Linked DNA regions of Canis lupus familiaris. The protein of the gene in region 6 interacts with the protein of the main gene of each other region in a pairwise test. Links are inferred from orthologs where the notes say so. Each region holds a gene or a part of one and is shown on either strand. Other genes may lie near its edges.

Evidence for each region.
Region 1: the proteins of LMO4 (region 6) and PDE4DIPP2 interact in binary tests that used the Homo sapiens proteins (3 or more experiments, as listed by UniProt). The two-hybrid records come from large-scale screens. The link is inferred for Canis lupus familiaris from reciprocal best matches to the Homo sapiens genes LMO4 and PDE4DIP.
Region 2: the proteins of LMO4 (region 6) and RBBP8 interact in binary tests that used the Homo sapiens proteins (3 or more experiments, as listed by UniProt). The link is inferred for Canis lupus familiaris from reciprocal best matches to the Homo sapiens genes LMO4 and RBBP8.
Region 3: the proteins of LMO4 (region 6) and GRHL2 interact in binary tests that used the Homo sapiens proteins (3 or more experiments, as listed by UniProt). The two-hybrid records come from large-scale screens. The link is inferred for Canis lupus familiaris from reciprocal best matches to the Homo sapiens genes LMO4 and GRHL2.
Region 4: the proteins of LMO4 (region 6) and NFYC interact in binary tests that used the Homo sapiens proteins (3 or more experiments, as listed by UniProt). The link is inferred for Canis lupus familiaris from reciprocal best matches to the Homo sapiens genes LMO4 and NFYC.
Region 5: the proteins of LMO4 (region 6) and KIAA1958 interact in binary tests that used the Homo sapiens proteins (3 or more experiments, as listed by UniProt). The two-hybrid records come from large-scale screens. The link is inferred for Canis lupus familiaris from reciprocal best matches to the Homo sapiens genes LMO4 and KIAA1958.

What each region holds. Positions count from the first base shown.
Region 1 is NC_049238.1:57,721,410-57,725,556, forward strand, and holds the start of PDE4DIPP2 (myomegalin), read left to right. Parts: upstream 1-1,347; 5' UTR 1,348-1,362; coding exon 1,363-1,769; intron 1,770-4,147. UniProt on the Homo sapiens protein: Functions as an anchor sequestering components of the cAMP-dependent pathway to Golgi and/or centrosomes.
Region 2 is NC_049228.1:65,368,909-65,372,950, forward strand, and holds the start of RBBP8 (DNA endonuclease RBBP8), read right to left. Parts: upstream 2,801-4,042; 5' UTR 2,611-2,800; intron 1-2,610. UniProt on the Homo sapiens protein: Endonuclease that cooperates with the MRE11-RAD50-NBN (MRN) complex in DNA-end resection, the first step of double-strand break (DSB) repair through the homologous recombination (HR) pathway.
Region 3 is NC_049234.1:3,333,881-3,338,052, reverse strand, and holds the start of GRHL2 (grainyhead-like protein 2 homolog), read right to left. Parts: upstream 2,801-4,172; 5' UTR 2,387-2,800; coding exon 2,367-2,386; exon of another isoform or gene 2,310-2,366; intron 1-2,309. UniProt on the Homo sapiens protein: Transcription factor playing an important role in primary neurulation and in epithelial development. Binds directly to the consensus DNA sequence 5'-AACCGGTT-3' acting as an activator and repressor on distinct target genes.
Region 4 is NC_049236.1:2,343,200-2,346,699, reverse strand, and holds part of NFYC (nuclear transcription factor Y subunit gamma), read left to right. Parts: intron 1-409; coding exon 410-568; intron 569-3,500. UniProt on the Homo sapiens protein: Component of the sequence-specific heterotrimeric transcription factor (NF-Y) which specifically recognizes a 5'-CCAAT-3' box motif found in the promoters of its target genes.
Region 5 is NC_049232.1:67,371,934-67,375,880, reverse strand, and holds the start of KIAA1958 (uncharacterized protein KIAA1958 homolog), read right to left. Parts: upstream 2,801-3,947; 5' UTR 2,742-2,800; intron 1-2,741.
Region 6 is NC_049227.1:61,435,912-61,439,837, forward strand, and holds the start of LMO4 (LIM domain transcription factor LMO4), read right to left. Parts: upstream 2,801-3,926; 5' UTR 2,257-2,800; intron 181-2,256; exon of another isoform or gene 89-180; intron 1-88. UniProt on the Homo sapiens protein: Transcription cofactor. Plays a role in establishing motor neuron identity, in concert with MNX1, acting, at least in part, to disrupt LDB1-LHX3 complexes thereby negatively modulating interneuron genes in motor neurons.

The DNA.
Region 1 (4,147 bases), on a different chromosome or scaffold from region 6:
ATTTTGTATATTATATCGAACCTACTGCCTTTCTGTGGGCAAAGCCAAAGTCAGTTGGCTAGGAGAACAGCTTTGTCTAAGTAATAAGAAGCCGGGTTGCAAAGAATGATGTGGTAAAGAATGAATGGGAATCAGGAAGTATAGCTATCAAATGAATACAGTGTATTTAAGCAAGTTGGTTATGAAGGGAAGCCAGAGATGATGGTGGTTAGAGGTTGAGGTGGGAGGACTCTATTTTAGGCATGAGGAGACTTGGGGATGTTTATAGCAGAGGGGTGGACTTAATGGAGAAAGTGATGCCAAAGATATAAAGACAACAGAAGATAATTAAGAGTCTCTAGCAGAGATGGGAATGGTAGGGTAAATTGCCCAGGTAAGATAGGTTGAAGGGAAAACAGAGGTAAAGACAGATTAAGCTGGGAGGTTTGAAAGAACGAATGGTGAGATACCTGATAGTGCCATTTTCTGGAAACATTTGGAATCCTGATTGGAGGGAACACTCAAAGAAATAGTAAAGAAGTAGAATTAAAGACTGGATGAGGCGAATGAGTGAGAGAGATAAGTCTCTGACCGTGCCCAGGTGAATGATAGTATTGGGTTAAAAAAAGGGGGGGGGGGGAGGACTGAACAGCAGGTTTGGGAGGAAAATGTGTTAAGAATGAGTTTCTTTGTTTACACTGAATCCATCAACAGTCCATATTGACTTTTGCCTGTAAACTTTGAGATCCATGGTGCCTACTACCAAGATGAACCTCTGTTGCAAGCCGTGAGTATATAGTGCAGCAGAAGCATTTCGCTCTGCTAGATTCTGAATAGCTTCTGTTGTTAGAGGACACTGGGATATAAGAAAGGGCTTTTCAGAAAGAACATTAAGTGGAGGATTTATTTGACCTACGAACTTTTTTAAAACCATGAATACATCCCCTTGACTTGATATTGGAGATCAAGTGATCTATACTTTGAGTTCTTTATGAAAAATGGAAATCAGAGTCTCAAGGGAAAGAAAGAAAAACTGTGTTTTTTCTGGGGGAAAGGTTTTGTTTGTTTGTTTTTACAACAACAAAAGGGAAAATTGAGAGGGAAAAAAAGATTTTAAGAGGGAAAAAGAGGGAAAGCAGGAGAAATGGGGTTAGCCAGGGGCCTGGAAAAATAGTGACTCTGAGCAAAGAAAGATGACTGAGTTGGAGGGAGGAGGAAGGCAAAACCCAGGAAATCACAGGGAGAGGGCGTGAGAAAAAGAGAAACATTTAAGGTGGGAAATTGAGGACAGTGACCTTGGAGGAGATTGGAAGACAAAAAGGAGTGCTATCGGGGATGAAAAGGTTTGCAGATTGAGGTAGTGGGTGGAGAGAGAATGGGTTGATGAGAGGGCGAGGAGGCTGCGGCGGTGTTTGTGCGCGAGGCCCCGAAGCAGTCTGGGCGGAGCAGGTGGCAGAGGCAGCCGCGGAAGAGGCCTGGCCCTTGCAGGTTTCCGCCACCATCACGTCTGGAGGATGCTCCCGGGCGGCGCGGGAGGACCGTAGGAAGACCGAGGCCAGGAGGACCGCGGTCGGGCCCGGGAAATCCATGAAGAGGGCGGACGGTGGGTCCTGCTGTCGCCGCCGCTGCCCCGCGCACCTCGCGCCTTACCGGTCCGGGGACGCGGCGCGAGCCCCGCAGCCCTCTCTGCAGTCTCCGGGCCGGGAGCGACGGCATCCCGAGGCGGCCGGCAGCTGGGCGGCGGCGGCCGAGGAGGAAGAGGCAGCGGCGGCCGCCGCACCCTGGATGAGGTGAGAGCGCTGCGGGAGCCGGGGGGTGGCGGCGCGGGCGCGGGGCGCGGGGCGCGGGGCGCGGGGCGCGGGGCTGGGACCCAGGGCCCGGCTATCCCGCGCCCGGGAGGGATGGGCGCCGACTCACAGCAGCTTGGACGGGGTCGGAGGACACCCAGGAGGAGGTCTTGGGGGGCCGATGCGCTGGTGGCGGGGGAGAGGGGGGAAGAGCGGTGGGGAAGTTGCCTAGAAATAAAGATGTGCTGCTGGATTGTGCTGGACTAAGGCTTGGGAAACGCGTCTCTCTCCCAGGTCTTGACACCCGCTCTGTCGGTGCCCATGAAGTTGAAGGCCATACCTACTGGGTCGAGTCAAAGGAGAGATCAACACAGGATGCAGAAGCCATGCCAGGGTGGAAGCATTAGGGACACCGAGCAAAAGGAGATAGAGGATCAGGAAATGTGCACGGGTGTACCGTTGAAGGAGCACCCATTGCTTGCTCTTACACCCTCTTTTTTTTGTTTTTGTTTTTTTAATTTACGTGGTTTTTATTTACCTAAGATATAGCAGGGTGGGGTTTGGTGATGGTTCTTTCTTTCTGGGCTCTCTTCCCCTGCGGAGCCCGAGGGAGCTGGAGCTCTGCCTGTTGGCCGGATGAGGCCGTACAGAACAAGCTCCACTTAAATTCAGCCCCTTCCTTTGCACTGAGATGGAAGACTGGACAGATTAGGCCTACATTTTCTTCATGTAGCATTAGCAGCACAAAAATCTGCCATGCATATGAGTTTTGGGAGGAGAGACAGATTGTGCTATTGGCCATTTTTGAAATAAGCGTTTCTTTGTCTTGGCATTTTTAGCTTATTCTTTTATGGGAACCCAGTACTCATAAATCAGACTACAAGGCAAGAGTGTCTTCAGTCTCTAAGCTACCGTTAACTAACTAGGATGTGAAAAAAAGGAGCTTGATTTCCCTAGGCCTCGTTTCCTATGCTTAAAAAATCACAGTTTCGATCTTTTGAGGATTAACTACAGAACTAGATATTAATGGAAACTGCTTTCTGTGTTCAGGACTAGGCTTTATTTGTGAACTGAGAAACTAGTTTATTCACACTTAATTGTATTTATTCATCATACTGTCCACTGTGAGAAAAAGGAGTCAAAGACATTTAGTTAACAGTGCTTAAAGGAATCTATTTCTATTTCTAGAAAGGAATCATTTCTATTAAGAAACTCATAAAAAGATGACTGCTTTTAAGAAGGAATGAGGCAGCACCTAAAACTAATATAACACTATTCATTAACTGGAATTAAAATAAAAACTTAAAAAAGAGGGAGCACCTAGGAGGGTCAGGTCATGATCCTGTGGTCCTGGGATGGAGCCCCACATAGGGCTGAATCTTCTTCTCCCTCTCCCTCTCCCTCTTCCATTCCCCCATACTCATTCTCTCTCTCTCTCTCTCAAATAAATAAAATCCTTAAAGTATAACTTTAAAAAAGAAGGAAGGAGGCAAGAAGCACTCATTATTTGATTTTTTTAGAATGTGGAATTTTAGTCTAAACAATTACTTTTTCTTAAATGTATCTCTGTGGTGTTGAATATTTTTCACAGACTACTTTGGATTTTTTTAAAGCTTGAAATTTAAAAAAAATCATGTGAATATGTATTTATAATTTAAAGTCTTCTTAACTGTTTTATACATACTGGAGTGAATTATTTTCATAAAAAGGAGCATTGCTATTGCAAAATTTAAAATAGATCAAGACTCCTTTTATAAAAATGTGACTTTTCATACTGTCTTTGGTAACAAAAAGTTTATAGGGTTCTCTAGTTGTGTTTTAATTGTTAAAATAGATAGCACACTTTCATTATTTCCCTAATGGTTATTCATCTGGCAAATCTCTACATCTTAGTTGATATAATGATGAGCCTTGAAACGTTTTTAAACATTTCAGGAATTCCCAAATGAAGCAGTGTCAGGAACTTCACTGAGGTTGCTGCTACTCTGGCCCTCATTTAAAAATCAGTTCTTGAGTGCCTGAGTGGCTCAGTTGGTTAAGCCTCCAACTTATGATTTCAGCTCAGGTCATCATCCCAGGGTTGTGAGTTTGAGCCATATGTTGGCTCTGCAATGAGTGTCGAACCTGCTTGGGATTCTCTCTTTCTACGTCTGCCCCTCCCTGCTTGCACGCTCATGCACACATGCATTCTCTATTTAAAAAAAAAATCAGTTCTCTAGGAATGTGTAGCATTTATTTATTTATTTGTTTGTTTATTTATTTATTTATTTTTAAATAGGCTCCACACCAACTGAAAGTGGGGCTTGAGATCAAGAGTTTCATGTTCACCCACGAGCCAGAGGGGCACCCCTTTACTTTCAAAAACATACCTGTCTTATCTA
Region 2 (4,042 bases), on a different chromosome or scaffold from region 6:
AAATGGGTTTTGAACTTTGCAATTCTGGTCTTTATAACCTTACTGAAATTTTCCTGCCAGTTCCAACCAAATTTTAGAAGTACTAACTTCTTTGGCAAATCCTAAACTATATTGATATAAGGGTAATATATATATATATATATATATGAAAATAAACATTTTTTTGTTTATGAGTTAGTAGAGACTTATAATTTTATCTTTTACAGTTCTTTAGAAAATATAGAGTAGATTTCATGTAATATTCAGAAGACTCAATGTAGGATAGTGAAAAATATTAGTTTGGGCTAGTATTCAGGAAACTGAAATGTTTTGCTCCCAGGTCTACTTTTAGCTTGAATAGTAGTGATTTAACCACATTTGGGGGCTTTTTATTTAAGTGAAGAATGGAGAGTTGGATGCTTTATTTATTTATTTATTTATTTATTTATTTATGCATTATTTATTTATTTTCAAGTAGGCTCTTGGCCCAGCCTGGAGCCCATTGCAGGGTTTGAACTCATGACCCCGGGATCAAGTCCTGAGCTGAGATCAAGAGTCAGAGACACTTAACCGAGTAAGTCACCCAGGTGCCCCTGCACTAGTTATTCTTTAAGAGTTCTTCAAGTTAAAAAATTTCGGGATTCTAAGTGCTTTTTGTTGGAAACATATGAAGAATTTAGGAAGGAAACAGGTTGCAGTTGTTAAGAAAGCTAGAATTGTTGACAAAAAGAATCATTGTGTGAAACTGAGAGGCTAGAAATAAGGATAAAGGAATACATCCCTGACTTAATTTAAAGAATAAAGAGATTTTTAGATGGGTAGAATCCTTTTTGACCTGGGTCCTGAGATAATGTAGGGCTATGTGAAATACACACATGTACACTTACAGCTCCATAATTTGATTTATAAATCCATATGTCCTTAATTTTAGCAAAACATCACAATGCATTAGTATTTTAAAGGGATCGATTTACAGGAAATACATAAAGGTCATATTTATGGACTTTCATATATTTGAAACTGCAAAGTGTATTATATGAGAGCTGTAGAATCCTTTTCCAAAGTATAGTTAGGCTTGAAATTTTATCCAAAGTTTTCATGTATATATGAAATATGTATCTAGTTTCTAAATAGCTTTCTTTAAAACCATAAACAAAAAATGTCCACTAAATAAACTGCAGTTCCCACTTAAGTTTATCTTTAAACAGAAAGCCTTGTATTTTAAACAGTATAGTTTAAAATTTTTTAATTAATATGTATAATATATTTACCAGAAACACTAAAAGTATACTCTAATGACATATATCTATATCTTGCCTGAAAACTAATTGAAAAGAGAAACTTTCAGCCAACGAAAAATTTTGATCCATAGTCTCCCCTAAAATTGTCAGAATACAAATGTATGCTGAATAAAATTGATTTCGGTTTGTTGAATCAGCATATTCCTTATGCAGATTCAATATACATAGCTTTTTAGAAGTTCAGCTGAATTTTCAGAAGTTTTGTGCAGAATTGCCTGCAATTCTGTGCAAACCTTCCTGCAAACAAAATGATATCTGAACATTATTTCTCACTTAAAAAAATTCTTTATTAACTTCCTAAAGAAACTTTTAGAGCCTTTGAGTTTGAACATCATGACAAAGTGGGGACCTGGGGACAATAAAAAAGATGCATCACTCTTGCTCAGTTTAAGACAAAGTCATATTAAGATGATCTATAGACAGCTCTTGACAGAAAAGTATTCAGTATAATTCTGTTTTAAAAAGCTGTTTTAATTCCCAGATAAATTCACTTGTCAGCTGCTATATTAATTCAATGTCCAGAAGATATGTACATTCAATTCAATCCGATATTAATAACTAAGGGAGTAGTTTGGTAACCAAAATAAATGTAAAGGGATTGATTGGTAACTTTGATTTTAAAAGACACAAACTACTTAAAATAAAAATTGCATCAGTAAAAAAGAGAGGTAAAAATTATTTAAAAATATAAAGGAAGATCCAAATATTCTTTAACTTAAAAAGTTTTTCAGACCTAATAGGCATGACAAAACCTGTCTTCATTCCTTTCTATTCAGCTCAGCAAGTACTTTTGAGCTCCAATAGTTAATCAGTTACCAGATTCCACAATCTTTGTTTTTCACACTTCTCAATTCTTACTGTGAATTGTTCCTGTAATGTACTTAGGATCACCAAGCAGGCCAACACTATTTTTTATGCCTTAAAAAGGCAATTATTATCATATTCACAATTAGATTGACCATATAAAATTGTTACCATATAGCAATGTCCTATAAAACATGATAGTATATTATCAAAGAAGTAGATGGCTTAACATGAATCATTAAGAGGAAATCTATTTAGTAAAAGTATTCAACCCAGCTTTCTTCATAACTAAAGCCATGCCCAACTTACAAAAAATAGTGTATTATATACCAAGTAATCTTTATCTAAACAAATCAATGAACTTATATTTAAGTATTATAAAACAATATTTAGCCAACTTGACATAAAAGGTATAATCCAGGCATTATCATGTTAAACATAGATACCTGTTTAAACATCATTTCTTAATTTAGCTTTTCAAAAGTGCATAGAAAATTGAGGAATATAAAAAAATATGTTAACTTACCCTTCAATTTATTTAGGAAACCTCTGCTCTGGGTCAAAAGCACAAGGTGTTTCACTTCTGACTTCTGAAGCTACAAACTTAAACAGTAAATCAGAGGAAGCCGCTTCTCTGGACCACACTAGAGTTTGCTAGACACTACTGCTATGTGAAAGAGTCCTGCTGCATCTAAGCTATATACAGTGTGCAATGGATAACCTAATATGCCTTTCATTTAACTGGCTGGGCAGGTTTCTACCGTCTGTGGAACATGGAATCAAACCAGAATATGTTGGCATAACAGGCCAGTCAAACCGGTTCTTCTGTAGATCCAGAACCTGTCCAACCAGTCTGCATCAAAGGCTAGCCCAACAAGCTGCAGCGGCTCAACTCTGCTAAGCTTGTATGGGTGAGTTATCCCCACCTCCCATCAACTCCCAACAAACTACTCAGAATGTTGTAGCCTCCAGCAAAATAATTCAGAGTTCTAGTGGGAGGGATAGATCTATGCAGGCATAGCAAGAGTCCATTGTTATAAACCTCTTATTGTAGATACTGGAGTATCTATCATCTTCAGAGGTAGGTAATCCTTTTAAAAATATACTTCAGGGCTTTCTGCAGATTAAAGCCTCTAGAAAGAGATTATCTACAATGAAGAAGAATCCATAATGCCTGACCTTTTCCACTAGTCCACTTGGCTCTGCTTGGTCTAGTTTAGCCTTGAGAGGGAAGTTCATATTCCCTACAAGGGTAGTGGCCCTGAGACCTAGATGGAGGCATTTCTAAAGGGAGGAAAACAAGGTATAAGTTGACCAGATGTTTGCCTGAATATGTTATCTTCCTTGTACTCAAATGATCCTCATATCATTCCAGTCTAAAGCTGGGAAAACCTCCTATTTCTATATACTAGGACAACTTGAAGGATTTTTACTTTGAATATTCAACAGTTGAACACAAATTATTGATACCTACCATGTGCCAGGTACAGGGTTACAGTGGTGTAAAAGAGAAGTTTAGTAAGAGATTGGAACAAGGTCCCAGTTCCCAGTTAAGTATGTGTAGTAATCTTTTGGAAGGAAGAAATAACAGAAGATCATATTTTGACAGAAATTGGTTGTATTAAGAGAGATCATGTGAGATTTGTTCTTCTCATAATATTTGCACATTTATAAACAGCCTTTCCTACTTACTGATACAGTGATTCTCAAACTTTCCTATTTATCATCTGAAGTGCTGATTATGAACAGATTACTGAGCCTTACCTCTTGAAATTCTGATTCAATAGGTCTGAATGTTCTTTAGCACTCTGGTGAATCTGCTGCAGCTGTTGAAGGGACCATAGACCCAGATTCCATGCTCAATTTCTTTTCTATATTAAAAATTGCCATATTCACTTTTCTATCTCCAGTGTCTAGAACACTGCCACTTAGAAAGTATTTAGTAAATGCTTATTAAG
Region 3 (4,172 bases), on a different chromosome or scaffold from region 6:
CTTGCTCTGGCAGGAAGGAAGCCAGAATAGGTTTCTCTCTTCAGCTCTTTTTTTTAGAGCCCACACTCCCACCCCACCTAACACACACAGTTGCATAAGCTTCAGGCCCGTGAAACCCAGACCCACCCCTCCGGTCCTCCACACTAAGGAAACAAAGCTAGAATTCCTAAAACCCCAAGTTATCATTTATTAATTTTAAGCGTTTCTCAATAGTCCAGGCAGAGGGAGAGAGGCAAGTGGGGTCCAACAGTCTTTTGTGGGTATTGTTCTTAATGGCATTACTTTTACCGGGATACAAAATTAAGTCTTGGAAAGTATGACTAGATAAAAGCTGCTTTCATTACATAGAAGTATATGTAATCCCGAATAGTTATTACCAATAAAAATTAAGTAATGCATCGTGGTGAAACCAGATTGCCAAAGCAGAACTTATTTTCAATACTAAACAGTCTGTTGGTGCCAGGAGTGACAGCAGGTTAAACTAAAAATCGGTCCGCTCTCGCTCCGAATCCAGCGGGGTCGCGGTGCATCACAAAACTCAGAGGGCCACCAGTGCTAATCGTGGGGTTCGATTAAAGAATCGCAACAAGTCGTATCCGATAAGCACTAGGTTTGCAACCATTTTCGACACGAAGAGGAAAACAATCCCAAAATTCCTGCTGTCATCTCCGGGCTTTGGCTACCGAAATTTTCAAGCTCGGGGAACGATTTCCTACAGGCTCCAGGAGCGAGCGAGCGGCGGGAGCGGCGGGCTCCGCACCGTCCCACACCTTCCGGTCCCGGCGCCAGGCGTGGAGCGAGCGGCTCTGGGCTGATGGGTGGCACCGTCCTATCATCTGGTGGCTGGTTCTGGGGGGCTGTGGTCGCTGTGGTGCGGGTGGGACAGCCCGGGGCGTCGGGCACTTCTCTACCCGCGGCGTTACTCGGAAGATGGCCCGCCCCGCCCCGCCCCGCCCCGCCCCCGCCCCCGGCAGGCCCCTAAGGCACTCCCGCGGCCCGCTCGCGGCCCGTCCATCTGGGACTGGTCCCGGGCCAGTTCGGGGGGCACCGGCGGCCTGGTGGCGCCCGGCCCCGGCCCCGGCCCCGGCCCCGGCGAGGGCGCCTCGGGAAGGTCTCCTTGGGGCGCCCAAACACCGGGGCGGCGTCGCCGCGGGAAGCAGAAAGGCGGCCGCACGCCCTTCCCCGGGGCCTCGGCCAGGTCCCAGCCCGGCGCGCCCGAGCGGGAAGGGAGAGCCGCCGCCTAGTCCCCAGGAGGCCGCGGGCCCACCTCAGCTCCCTCCCGCCCCGCCCCCGCCGTCGGCCCCACCTCCCCGCTAGCACAAAGCCGTCCCGAGGCGGGGGCGGGGGCGGGGGCCGGGGCCGGGGCCGCGCGAGGCCGCCGAGACGCGACCGGACGGCGGACGGCGACCCCGAGGCTGGGGCCGCGCAGGCCGCCGATCCCCGGGCCCGCCCGGAGGTCCCGTCCCGTCCCGTCCCGTCCCGGACGGAAAGGCCGCGCTTGCCCGCGCCGCCCTCGGGGCGCCCGGCGCGACCCACGCCGCCTCGCCAGCCAGGCCCGGGGTGGCGGCCGGGTCGGGGAGCGCCGAGGGCCGCGGGCTCGCTCGCGGGGCCGTGCACGCGCCGCCCGACGGGGAGAGCCGAGCGGCTGCGGGCCCTCTGGCGCCCCCGCGGACGTGCCCGCTCGAGGCCCCAAGTCGATTCCCCTCACTTCCCGGGGCCCCGCGCTGGCGCACCTGCGGGGGCGACACGCGGGGCGGGGCGGGGCGGGGCGGGGGGACCCCGGGGCCGCGGCACCCCCGGCGCCCGCGCCTCGGCACAGGGGCGCACGGGCGGGCGCGCACACACGCTGCCCGGCCGGGCCCGGGAACATGGCCGTTTGGGCTCCGGTGTAAGGGCCCTTTGTTGCGCTCACACAAAAGCGGCCGGACCCGCTCGGCTCGCAGGCCCTTCGCGCAAATCGAGGGAGCTCGGCTGAATTTCCAAGTGGCCTTAGAGGCCTGAAGCGGCGGGAGCGACCAGGGGGAGAACGCAGGCCTCCCGCCTCGTCGGCCCGAGCTGTGCCAGGGGCCAGTGCTCGCCCCGGGAGGCGGCAGCGGAGGTCGCCCGCGGGGACCGTCTAGGCCCAAAGGGGGTATTAGACGTTCGCATTCTTGTAGGGTTCCTCCGCTTAACCAAGGTAGAAACGTAATCTGGAAAAGTCTGGATACAACAAAAAGAAAAAGAAAAAAGAACGAAAAAAAATACCAACAATAGCAACTAAAAAAAAAAAAAAAAAAAAAGCACACACCAAAAACAAAAACATAACAAACCAGTTGCCATCAGCCCAAAGCGGTAGCAGCAGCAGCCGGCGCGTGTGATCCACTTACTTGTCCGACTCTTGTGACATGTTTGATCCAATGAACTCGCTCCCCTTTTCCTGGAGCCTCAGCCTCTGGTGAAACTGGACTTTCAAGTCTGTGCAGGTGACGGTGTGTGAGCGCGCCCGAGATGGCAGAACAAGAGCTACAGGTAATTCTGCTTTTCCGTCCCCCCGCACCGCTCTCGCTCGCTCGCGCGCCCGCGCCCTCACCTAGCCGGAAAGGTGGGACAAGGGGGGCCTCACATGGGGCCCGGGCTCGGAGGCGGCCGCGCGGCGCGGAGTCCTCCCGGATCGTGGCAATGGGCGGCCACAGAGCAGAAAGTGGCGGACTTGGGCGGCCACAGGTAACTTTCTCGCAGGGAGCTGAATTCTTTCACTAAAGGATACAAGCCCGAGGGACGAGCTGCGCGGTGATTGGCTGCGAGGCTCCCTCAGGTGAGCTGCCATTGGCAGAGGCGCGCTCAGGTAAGGCCCTTCTCCAAGTGCAGGTAACTCACTCCGTAGTTTACCTGCGTGGAGCGGCGGCACGCCTGCAGCTCTGCGGCCGCCCGTGGGAGCGGAGGGTCGCTGCTCTGAGCAGACCTACGCCACGCTCCCTTCCTCGCGGAGAACGGCCCGGGGGGCGGGAGGAGAAAAGCAACACCTGCAACCACTAGGGATTGTGGGTCAAACGGAAGGCCTAAGGAGAGCTGAACTCAGGTACCCCAAGCCGCCCGGAATCAAACGCGCAGCCTGACCGCAAGGCTTTGAATACCCACTTTTTGACGTTGTCAGAAGAGTGAGGGCCTCAAGTTTACCTTGTGCTCCGAAGGGTAGAAACACAAAGATTGCCGAGTCGGTTGTGTAATTGCATTTTTAACATTCTTATCCAGAACAAACACTTTTCGTGTCCCGATGTGTAAAAGATACCAGGTAGATTACAGATTTTCACATGGATGAGCATCCTTTCATGGGCTAGGCCGATGAAGAGTGGGGTGGTTCTGATGGGGTGAGAAGATTTGGGGTGAATAGACGCTAAGATGGCCCAGGCCTGTGTCTTCTATCTCAACTCTAGCCTGGGATTCCAGAGCTGCAAACAACCACCGAATCCCTTCTATAAACCTGTTGTCATTTGACGTTTCCAGGCAGGCATCAACATTTACATTGTAATTCAATAGAAGCAGCGACTACAAAGGTGCTTTATCCTTCCAGCTTAATATGGTTGCTATGGAAACAATTCAGGATGAAACTGACTTTTTTGCGGTTCTGTTTCCCCTGGTTGGGAACAACGCAGATTACCAAAGGTTTAATTTATAACCACTTGTTCCTAAAGAACATTGGTGAAAGTTCTGACAGGAATGTAGTCCATACCTATGAATCGTTGAACTAAGGAAAGCATGGAGAGTATATCATATTTTATTTCAAGTTAATACTACATTGCCAGAAATGATACCCAACTTCTATTTTAATCTTTATGGACCAGATATTTCCTGAAAATTATGCCCTGAGACAGGTTGTTTGTTTGTTCCATGTTTCATGCTCAGCAAATGAATTAAAACTTTTATTCTCACACAGTATAAGCACACACACTTTTTAAATATAACATATTTAAATACAATACAATACCCACTGTTTCTCTACCTTCTTAATCTCCTTTCTAAAAGCATCCACATTCCACTTTTAGCCATCTCTTCTGTCATTGACCTCTTTCTTTTTTCTTTCTTTCTTTCTTTCTTTCTTTCTTTCTTTCTTTCTTTCTTTCTTTCTTTCTTTCTTTCTTTCTTTCTTTCTTTCTTCTTTCTTTCTTTTTATAAAGATTTTAAGTAATCTCTAC
Region 4 (3,500 bases), on a different chromosome or scaffold from region 6:
CCATTTAATTTGTTCTCCAAATTCACCTGCTCCTGACTTGACTTTGGCCATTTCTCAAGTGAACTGTAATGGTTACTTTGGATTATTTTGTAACATATGTGCCTTTTGGTGACTGAAGAGGCTTGAAAAGCTGCAGCATTTGAACCATAGAGATGTTTGGGGCCTGGGCAGTTATTCTGTACTGTGAGACTACAAATCTGTATGGCTTTCTCATCTTTTATTTTGGAGAATAAACTTCAGCAGTGCTGTAGGCCCAAAAGACTCTGAGTGTTGTTAATTTGTATTAAGATGAGTTTAGGCATCCATGGAAGAGGTTTGCTGCCGGTTAACTGCTCATCGTTAACCCCTTGGTAAGCCTAATGGCTCTGAGCTGGGGTTGAATCAGCTTTCTCATTACTCTTCTTTCTAGACCACGCCCGTGACCATGCAGGTTGGAGAAGGTCAGCAGGTCCAGATTGTTCAGGCTCAGCCACAGGGTCAAGCCCAGCAGGCCCAGAGCAGCACCGGACAGACTATGCAGGTGATGCAGCAGATCATCACGAACACAGGAGAGATCCAGCAGATCCCGGTAAGCCTGCTCTGCCTTGCATCTGCAAGGCACTGTGCTCCTGTTGTAACGAGAGTGCTTATAGATCTTAAACGCACACACAGAATATTGCATATACCCATGTGTATATATGTACGTACATTTCTCTAAACTTATATCTGTGTAAGTGCAGACCACAGCTTGCTTCACTGTATGCTCACTGCTCTCTTTTAATCCTGCTCAGGTTTACCACCGTGGGGCAGCTCCTCTCGATTTCCCTGCACTCCACCTATGCAAAGAATGCTCGTAACCACTGTTCATGCCAAGACCCAAAGGCCCTGTGAGGCAGCCCTCCCTGTCTTTTGATTAGCAGAGAATAAGAGGGAGGTGTACAGAGAAGGCCATAAATACACTTGTTGCATATTCATGAGTCAGTTCCCAGTGGAGCCTGCAGCAAAGTGTATTTTTGGCTTTCATTTAACTTATCCATCCCTTCACTGTGGACTGCTGCTTCCTGTGTGCCTTGAGGGATTTCATTTCTTGGATTTGTTGGCTTTTTTACTTATACTTGCTCTTTTGTAAAAAATGCCCCATCTTAACACTTGCCATCTATACATTGGTCATTTTGCCACCCAAAGGTGTGGAAAGTGAGTGACACGGAGCAGTACTTCTCTTTCCTGCCCCTTGCCCTTCCTCTTGTAAATGACACGTAGGCAGATAGAGAAACTCGCTTGGACTTGGTTAACTACTTCCTCTTTGAAAAAGCTCCATTTTTGAAACTGTTCTTATTAAGTTAACAGGGTAATAGACCAAGAGAAAACTTAGGGAAAGTGGAGTGTGTGTGTCTCTATCTTTCCGTCTCCCCTCCTGCCCTTCCTCCTTTTCTCTACTTTTTGGTGCACTCTCCCTCTGCTAGAGCTTGCACCCTCTCACTCCCACTTTTTTCCTCTCTCTCTCTCTCTCTCTCTCTCTCTCTTTCTGTCTCTTTCTCACATACATACCCCTCTTAGTTCCAGGTGCCTTCCCTCACTGTCTCAGCCACCAACCAAAGACCTCTCTTGAATGGTTCTCAGTTTTACATGTGAAGGCGCCAGAACTTAAGCCAGAGAAGAAGAGTTCCCTCTTTGCAGTAACTTTAACTCCACAGTCTTTTTAACCTTCCAGGACACAGAGCGTTAGCACAGATTTGCTGCAGAATTCACTATTCTCAGATAACTTCTGCAGAAGTCTGCACTTCTAAATTCCTCAGAGTGCTCGCTCCAATAGAGAGGACATTCAGGAAGGAAGCTTTGCTTCTTTTTTGAAAGTCCAAAGGGCAGGTGTATTTGTCCTGTAATTAACATCAAAACGCTGCCAGGGTCCCCAGACCGATCATTGTGGCAGAGCATCACCAGATGTGTAAACCTAAGCCTAAAAGAGCTTCTGCTTCTAGGAACTGCTTGGAACTGTCTGGCTCACAACTTTTCAGTCGCATCTGAGTTTCTGCAAAGAGCTCTTCCCAGCTAGGAAATGTAAAATCCCTGTGGTTGTCACTACACCTTCCCTGTTCTTGGGAATAGGCTTTAGTCTTTCATCCTGTGTTCCTTGGCTGGAGTTCTGGTGACTCTGGGACCAGCCATGATTGGTCCCAGCAGACGATCTTCCCCAGCTTCTAGCCAGCTGCCTTCATCCCCAAAAGCAGCTTAGTGTTGTTGCCCAGCAGCCACATTATGGGACTTCAGGCGGGGCCAATCTGTGCCTGGCATCACAACTTCCAGCAGCTCTTCTTGGCATAGTCTCTCAGAAAGAATTGCAGGTCATAATATCTTGCCCTGTCTCATGTGAACCAGATTAACGAGTTTAGGTTTTCTATTCCTCCAATTTGCTGTAAGTGGACAATTCTGAAATTTGGTCTACCAAGAACTTCTAAGAACTACACTTACTACCAAGTATTTGTCTTTTCTTGGTGGTTCAAATCCTCTTTGAAGCTGAAGTTGTAGAGAAGCAGTGTGATTTAACACTGCAGGCAGGAGTGCAGCTTCGTGTATCAGCATTTTCCTCATGGAAGTAAAATTCCCTGCAAGGGAATTCGGTCTTAAATTCCCTTTGCTCCAGGACAAAGAGACATGACTTGCCCGTTTGCCTCACGAAGTTCACTGCTGCAACAATGGCAGGCTGGGCAGCCAGGGAGAGTGGTTTCTGAGCCCCCGGATAGAGACCAGTCTGTCCTCCTGGCACCACTTTTCATCACCCAAATCCCGAGTGTGAATGTTGGCAGTGCTCTGCTGACTCTCCTCTGCTGAGCCACGGTTCCTCTCTTGCAGCCAGCCGCCTTGGTCTCTCCATTCCTGCCCGAGGCACTGAGACTTTCATGGTACACTGGAGCGTTAAGAGTCTGAGTTAAGGCTTTTAGTGAACAATTAAATGCAGCATGTGGTATTATTGTATTATCTGAGACTTAATCTTAAGCATGAGGGACTCTAAGGGCATTTTTGTAGCTTTGGTTTCCCATGATGGGGTTTTCTGTGAAATATTTATTGATTCAGCTTCCCCTTGGGAGGAGTTTGGCCAGAAGAAAGTGCTGAACACCAAGGATCCTAAAAGTCCCACAGACCCCTGTTGGTTCTGGCTCTTGGGGACCGAGATAGTGAAGCAGGCTAGCTTTTTCTTCCAAGATGTGCAGCATGGGTCGGGCAGGACTAGGGCTAGGGCGCAGAGTGCTGGCCATCTGCTTTGGGCTCCTGACAGATGCTGGAGTTCTCAGTATTAGATCAGCCATCCCAGGAATTGGCGTGGCGGAGTTTGGAGATAGAGTGGAGAATGGCCCACACTTACGGTACAAAGCATTCCGATCATGTCTGACAGTATGGGATAAAATCCTAAGATAAACTGAACAAACGGCTGAGAGCCAGTGAATGTTGAAGGTGTGGCCATGCTGTTCCTCACATATGTGACCAGATCCTCTGGGAATTTTCTCCAAAGTCCACTTAGGGAA
Region 5 (3,947 bases), on a different chromosome or scaffold from region 6:
GTCTCAACCATGAAGAGTGAAAAATAATTTATACCCCTTCCTAACCACCAACATACAAGAAGAGAAATCAGCTGAAAATATGTAAGGTTCTCTGGACTGCTTCGGGCTACACAAAAAAATACTGTTTATTATACAAAAACAAAAAAATGAATACCCATATATCACAGCCAAAAACAAAAACAAACTAGGTGTTACCTCTTAGCCTGCCCATGGGAAGACACTACACTGCCAATCCCAGAAAACTGTTGGCATAACTACAAGTTGCCAAGCAATTCTCAACACAGACCACACTCTCTTAATATTTAATTTACACCGTGACTCTGTTAAACCTCATCCCTCTGACTGACAGATAAATACATAAACAATTCAAGTTATTAACTTATCTTTTTAAAAATTCCTAAGCACTGGGCAGCCCCGGTGGCCCAGCGGTTTAGCGCTGCCTTCAGCCCGGGGTGTGATCCTGGGGACTCGGCATCGAGTCCCACGTTGGGCTCCCGGCATGGAGCCTGCTTCTCCTTCTGCCTGTGTCTCTGCCTCTCTCGCTGTCTTTCATAAATAAATAAAATCTTTAAAAAAAAAATTCCTAAGAACTGATAAAGAGTGTGTGTAATCAAATAGCTGGAACTCCGGGAGTGTGTTCTGACTCCATCCCACCATTCCTAATAAAGCCTGAACAAATTTCAATACCTATGCTCTTTGGGCCGTCCTTACCAGAAAAGAAAGTGGAATCTTGCACAAGGGCCTACTAGTGCCTTGCACTGAACCCTATATGCCCTCTACATTCATTCAGCTAATCTAGAAAGGAAGTCAAAACAAGAATAAAATTTGATCAGTTCAAAGGGACTGGTAAGATTGTTAGATTAGATGTAGCATCTTCTAAGTTTTAAGTGTATAAAAATGTACAGCCCAGATACTTACAACGTTGGGCATGCAATAATAATAATAATCTGTTAATGTAACTAGGGCAAACATCTAGGCTAATTTTTTTCTTCTGGAAAAAAAATGACTTTTCGGCACACTGAAGCTGTCTCCGCTTCATCATGACAAAAATCATTTTGCCTAATCAAAACTGTATTAACATTGTACATTGCTTTCTGATGAATTTCTGTATCCTACTTGATGAAGATTTAAATAAATTCTTTTCCACCACAATGTTTTTCAGATGTTTAAGAAAGCTTCTGGTTTCTACATACAACTCCACATATACGACCTGAGTGCACCCAAAACTATTTTTTCAGTCTCCTTGATAACCATCAGATTTAAATTTGTCCATATGGATTCTCACACGGCAGGAAAGAGAAAAAAAAAAAAAAAGGTCTCCAGAAGTGAGCCCTAGACTGAGATTCATACAAAGATATAAATTCGTGCCTGCACTAAAAATGTGAATCTGTAAAATCAAGTTTCTGGGTGCTCATTCAACTTCATTTACAATTTGGATACCTACGAATACACATCAGCTCTTCACAAGAAGCTCAACCAGATGAATAATATAAGTCGGAAATATCACCTACGCTACTTTGCAAAAAAACTATTTCCACCATGTACGACCCAATCGTGGGGTTTTAGAGAGAGAGAGAGGGAATAGACACACAGAATAAAAGAAGGAAAGCACACTCACGGGGGGGGGGGGGGGAGAGAAAAAAAAAATTAGTTCTAACATTTATGTTCTCCTCCCTGTGCTGTGGAAGACCTCAGGCTCTAAACCAGCAAAAGATAAAGGTTTTAGCCTGCACGGGAGGCTGGATATTTACTGCATTTGCATTTAACCTCCACCGTGGAGGCTGTCAGCCAGCACCTGACTCGCTTGGTAACTGTTTACCTAACAGGTAGGAGACTGTCTTGCTAATCCTAAGGAGTCTGGGAAATAACAAAACTTTATCATCAAACTTTAAAATATGTGCATATACATATATATACATATATGCAAAAAGAAAACCAAAAGGTAAAAATCCCAGCCATGTTCATCTTCGATTTGCCTGTAAGTCCCTGCCTAACCTTAGAAGGAGGAGGAGGAGGAGGAGGAGGAGAGGCAGCACCTGAACACCGACTCGGCCCGCGAGCGTGGCTGGGGCCGGGGGCCGGGGGGCGGGGGGGCGGGGGGCCGGGGGCCAAGCTGCTCGCAGCCCGGTCGGGTCGCGGGGCCCGGGAACCCGCGCGCGTGGGCCGCGGCCTCGGCGGGGGGGTGCGGGGGGCGCGGGGGCCTCCCGGGGACGCCGCCTCCGTTGGAGACAATAAATAAGGGGCCGGAGCGCCGCTCGCCCCTGCACGGCCGCGCCTCCCGCCGGCGGAACAAGTCGGGCAGAGCCCCGAGCCGCCTCCCGCCTCCCGCCTCCCGCCTCCCGCCTCCCTCCCCGCCAGCGCCTCAACACTTGGAAACTACGAGGGCCGACGGCTCCTTCCCCTTCCCGCCCTCCTGCCCCCTCCGGACAGAGCCGGGGCGGGCGCGGGGGAGCCGGACCACGCAGCGCGGCGGCGGCGGCGGCGGCGGGGGATGCTGCGCGGCGGGGGCCCCGCTCGGAGCTCGGAGCCCGGGTCCCCCCCGCGCCCCGCGCCCCGCGCCCCCGCCGCTGCCCTCACGGGCTCCCGGCCTTCCCCCCCCCGCCAGGAGACAAAAGAGGGTTCAGCCGGGTCAGCGCTCGGCGCCGCGGACCCCAGCGCGGCCGCCCCCCACACAAAGGGGCTCCCGGCCCAGGGCGCAGCGTCGGCGCGCTCGTCCCCGCCCCGCGCGGGCTCTCACCCACCTGCAGGTGTCTGTGCGTCTGTCCATAGGAACGCGGGCGGCGGCGGGGGGGGCCGGGGGGCCCGGGCTGGACGGGGCGGGACCGAGGGGAGGGAGGGAAGGCGGCCGGAGGCCCGGGGCGCGCAGGCAGGGAGCGCGGGGAGGGCGCCGGGCGGGCGGCGGGCGGGGGCGGGGGCGGGGGCGCGGGCCGGGGGGGCGGGGGCCGGGGCGCCAGCCTGGCTCTGCGACCGGCGCGCGCCGCTCCGTGCGCCCCGGGCTCCGCGCGCCCGGCTCGGAGCTCGGAGCTCGGAGCGCGGCGGGCGGGGGGCGGGGCGCGGGCGGGGCGGGGCCGGCGGGCGGGCGGGGCGGGGGCTCGGACCCGGGCTCCAGCCGGCACCGGAAGCGCGCCGCGGGCCGCGAGACCCACAGGAAGTGTGTAACGACACCGCCGCGGAGCGCTCCGAGCTCGCGGCCGCCGCTGCCCGCGGACGTGCGCCCCGACCTTCCCGGCGGCGCCGGCGCGCACGGGCTCGCCCTCCGCGCCCAGGCAGGTGCGGCCGGCGCCGCGTGCGGGGGAGGGGGGGGGGGCGGGGGCGCCCCGGCCGGAGACCCCACGCCCCCCCCCCGCCCCGAGCCCCGGGGAGCGTCCCCCAGGCGCCAGGTGCAGCCCCGGCCGGTGACCCCGAGCACCGCCCCCCCGAGCCCCAGGGAGCGTCCCCCAGGCGCCAGGTGCAGCCCCGGCCGGTGACCCCACGCCCCCCCCCCAGCCCCGGGGAGCGTCCCCCAGGCGCCAGGTGCAGCCCCGGCCGGTGACCCCGAGCACCGCCCCCCTGAGCCCCGGGGAGCGTCCCCCAGGCGCCAGCTGCAGCCCCGGCCGGTGACCCCACGCCCCCCCCCCCCCCCGAGCCTCAGGGAGCGTCCCCCAGGCGCCAGCTGCAGCCCCGGCCGGACCTTGCGCCGCCCGCTGTAGCACCTGTCCTAAGGCACCGAGCGCCGGCACCTCTACATCCAGGTTCGGGAACACCTCCTGCTCGCGGGCAACCCAGTCACCGCTGCCCAGTGGAAGTTCCCAGTCCAACTACCGCACTCGCGTCCATCCCATGGCGGGGGGGGGGGGGGGGGGGGGGGGCATGACACCTAAAACACACGAGGACCACCGAGGCAGGCACTGATTCCCCGCCCCCCTACGCACCTCGGGACCACAGGGGCAAGGCTGGCGCCCCCCACC
Region 6 (3,926 bases):
GAGGTGGTGGGAGGGGAGGCAGGGGACGCGAGGGAGGGGGTGCGGTGTGTAAAGTTGCGAAACTGGTTTTTCGTATTTTAAACAGCACCTTTCACATGCCATTGTGGTGACCGCCATCTCCCATTATTGTTCCAAATCTCATTTCATTTTGAAGATCAATGAGTGTTTTCTCTGGGTTTTCAGGACACAGGCAAGAATAATAGATCATTGAACTTTAGGATGCCTGTTAACTTCCTATACAAACACTCTCCACTTTGGTCTCACTAATCTGCCCTTGATCAGCAATTTAAATGCTAAAGCTTTGTTCCTCCAAAGGGGGGGGAGTGTGTGTGTGTGGGGGGGGGGGGGGGGCGACGTTACAGATAATATGCGAGAAGGCACTATTAAGGGATGCACAAGTTATATTCGAGCCAGTCCTGCTGTCACCAAAAACTGCTTTTAAAAAAATTCCCCACTCTTTCTAATGAATGTCACGAGAAGCAACTGGGGTATAATATAGGAATCAATTTATAAAGCTTAGCCTAAACCGATTAATTTGTTGCCTCCAATCCTGAGTCCAATAAAGTCCTAGTGTTCCTCCAGTCACTTATTCTATAAAAAGATCAAGTTATTTACTGCCAATTAAGCAGCCTGTTTTGTCTTTGTCCTCTGTAAGCCGAGAGTGGAGGCTCCCCCCGAGGCTCCCGGCTATCTGCTCAAGACATTCAGCTGATACCTCAGAAGGGAGAGGGCGAACTTTGCCTGTCCCCGGCCCAACTTGGCTGCTGCAAAAAAAAAAAAAAAAAAAAAAAAAAAAAACAACCAGGGGAAGGGAACGAAACAAGGACTCGGGTTCCTTAAATAGGCCGATTTTAAACACATTTCCTCCGAAAGAGTCCCGGAACGTGTGTCCAGTGACCGCACAATAAACCAGAATAAGAACTGCACCAATTAAGCTGTAACAAAACCCTGAGACTTTGGAAACAGGACCACTCTAAAACCCATTAGCATTGCATTTATCCGAATGCATCATACCTTTATGTAAATTGATTTATCTGATGCATTTACTCGAGGAATTGCTTTTTGTTACAATTTCAGCCCTAACCCAAATGAATCTGCATTTCCTGCCCGAGGTCTTTAAACTGTTTCCCCCAACGTTTTAATCGCTCCGAATTCCTTTTTAAAAGGGGAGAGGGAGGGAGGAGATTCCAAGCTCTTCCCCGCCCCCATCTTTGGTGAGAGGTAAATATATATGTATATTTTTTTCGAAAAGGAAACATTACACTGAGAAAAGCATCCAGTAACCCCATTAGCTAAAGCTCTTAAGGACAAGCAATACCTTAATGCTGATTAAATCTAAAAGAGATGAATCAAGAGGACTGACCAGAAACTGACTCCCCTGATAACTAAGGACGGGCCCTCATCAAGTTTCATTTAGAGTTGGAAAAAAAAAAAAAAAAAAAAAAGAAAGCTTTTAAGTTAAATAGGCTTATACTCTAGTAATTACATAGCCAAGCAATTTAGGTCCTGGGATAGTCAGTGAAATAGAAAGCAGAACTGGCAGCTAGAGGCAAAATCTGCCCCCCTTTAACAACGTCTCTGGTGTTTTTTAATGGAGACCAGGGGAGGGACAAACGTAGCGCTGGCAATTTGTAGTACAAAAATGGATGCTTAATTCATGTCTTGATTTTAATTAGGTGATTCACCGGATTTCTCCTGGATTGGAACAAAAGACTTATAAGCCAAGAGGAATTTTTGAAAAGAACCAGCAATACTGAATCCTGCTCACTTAGATCCTTTCTGCCACTGTTTCAAAAATAGTGTTTACTGGGGGGCTGGGGGGGGGGGTCGTGACTATTTCCCCCACACTACTTCTCATACTTAAACCCTCATTTAAGCACCTCCGGCCTTTCCCTTAGGAACTGAAAATACCCCCCCACTACCACACACACACACACACACACACACACACACACGCACACACGCACACACACCCCTCCCCACCCTCCCAGGTCCCCAGCAGCCCCGTCTCCAAGAAGAACCCTTTTGTAAGCAGGAACCGCTACAAAGCTGGCGGCCCGGGGCCGGCTGCCCTCCGTGCTAGCTCGCAGGCCGGCCTCGGTAGTTTCAGACTCGCGCATTATCCAAGCCGACGTATTGTTTACTTGCAATTTGGGACGGTCAAGGGAAGGAAGCCAAAGAAAACAGCCCTGGCCCACATCGGCCCCCTCCTCCCTCTGCCCCCCCTCGCCCGCGGCTCCCCAGCCGTCCCCTTACCTGCTTTTCCCCTATATTGCAATACTGCGAGAGGCGGCGGCGGCGAAAAGCGAGCGAAGCCGCTCGGCTTCCAAGGAAGGGGCGCCTTGGCTGGCGGAGCTGGAGGGAGGGGGGATGTTCTCGCAGAAGCAGGAAAGGGGAGGAGGGGGCTAAGGGCTGCTTTTTTTTTTTTTTTTTTTTTTTTTTTTTAAACGCGTCGCCCTGAGGCTGGGTCGGGGGGCCCCGCCGTAAGCGGCAGGCGGCCGGGAGCTGGAGTGTCAGGCTGAGTCCTCCGCGTCGTCCTCCGCCTCCGCCTCCGGCTCCGGCTCCGCGCGAGCAGCTGCAGGAGCCCGCGGCCCGCGCGGCGCGGCTTCAGGCGCGGCGCAGCGGCAGCAACTGCTGCAATCGCTGCTGCAAGTTTGGCAATGTGGCTTCACTTTGTATATGCCCCCGCCCCCGCCCGCGCGCCTCCCGCTCCTCCTCCTCCTCCTCCTCCTCCGCCTTCCTCCCTCCCGCGCGCCCGCCCGCCCGCTCGCTCGCCCGCTCGCTCGCTCGGGGCCGGCGGCGGGCGCTCGGCCGCGCTTCCTGCCCCTCCAGCCGGGGAGCGGCCGCGGGCACCAGAGCCCCGGAGCGGCGGCGGCCGGCGCGGAGGCCGGGAGCCGGGGAGCTGCGGCCGGCCGGGCCCGGCGCGCTGGAGCCTGCGCCGCTGCCCGGGCTGCTGCTGCTGCGGCGGCCGCCCGGCTCGGAGGAGGCGGCGGCGGCGGCGGCGCTGGCCTCTAGCCGGCTCGCTCGCTCCCTGCGCGGCGCTTACACATGTGTTACTGACAGAGCCGAATCCCAACTACTCCCCGGCTCTGCCGCCGACGTCAGCGACCCTCAGCCACTGGGCGGCCGGGTTGTTCAGGCGGAATAATAAAACCTGCCAATCCGGGGCAGGACAAAGGGAGGACTGGAACGAGACTCCGCGGGCGGGGGAGCGGGGGAGGCGGCGGGCGGAGACGGCCCGGCCGGGGGCAGGTGGGCGGCCGAGCCCCGGGGACCCTCGCGGGACCCCCGGCGGGACCCCAACCCCCTCCCGCGGGGGGCAGGATGGAGCGGCCGGGGGCGCCGCTCCTGCCCGCGCCGGCGATCGCGGGGACCCGCACCCGCGCGCCCCTCGGGGACCCCCCCCCCGCGCGCCCGCGCGAGCCCCGCAGGAAACTTCTCGTCTTGCTCAAAAATGGGTCCCCTCCTGTTGGGGAGGAAGAGTCTCCCCGAAACCTCCGGGCGGGGGGCTTCGCTCGCACGCAGAAGAGGTTTTGTTTTTCTGCCTTTAATTCGCGGGCGTTGGAGACGGATGAGCCCTTAGTGGGAAGTTGAGCGAGCGAGGAGGTGGGGACCGAGTCCGCAGGTCTTGCAGGACTTGGCCGCCCGGCCCCGGTCCCCCGCGTGGGCCCGAGCGCCGGCCGAGAGCCCCGTGGGCGTCTCGTAGGGGATCGTCCGAAGTCGGAGCTGAAGAGCTCACAGCCCGGACTTTGGGGGTCCAGGGGAACTTCAGGGAGGAGGGCTCGGCCTCCATCCACCCCTGCTGTGCAGGAGGAGAGGCCCGATTCCTCAAGCCCCCCGTCCCCCCCCCCCTCCCCCCCCAGACAGCAACAAGGAATGGCAACATTCACCATCCCACAGCCTCTGGGGAGGAAGAAAGGTCACGT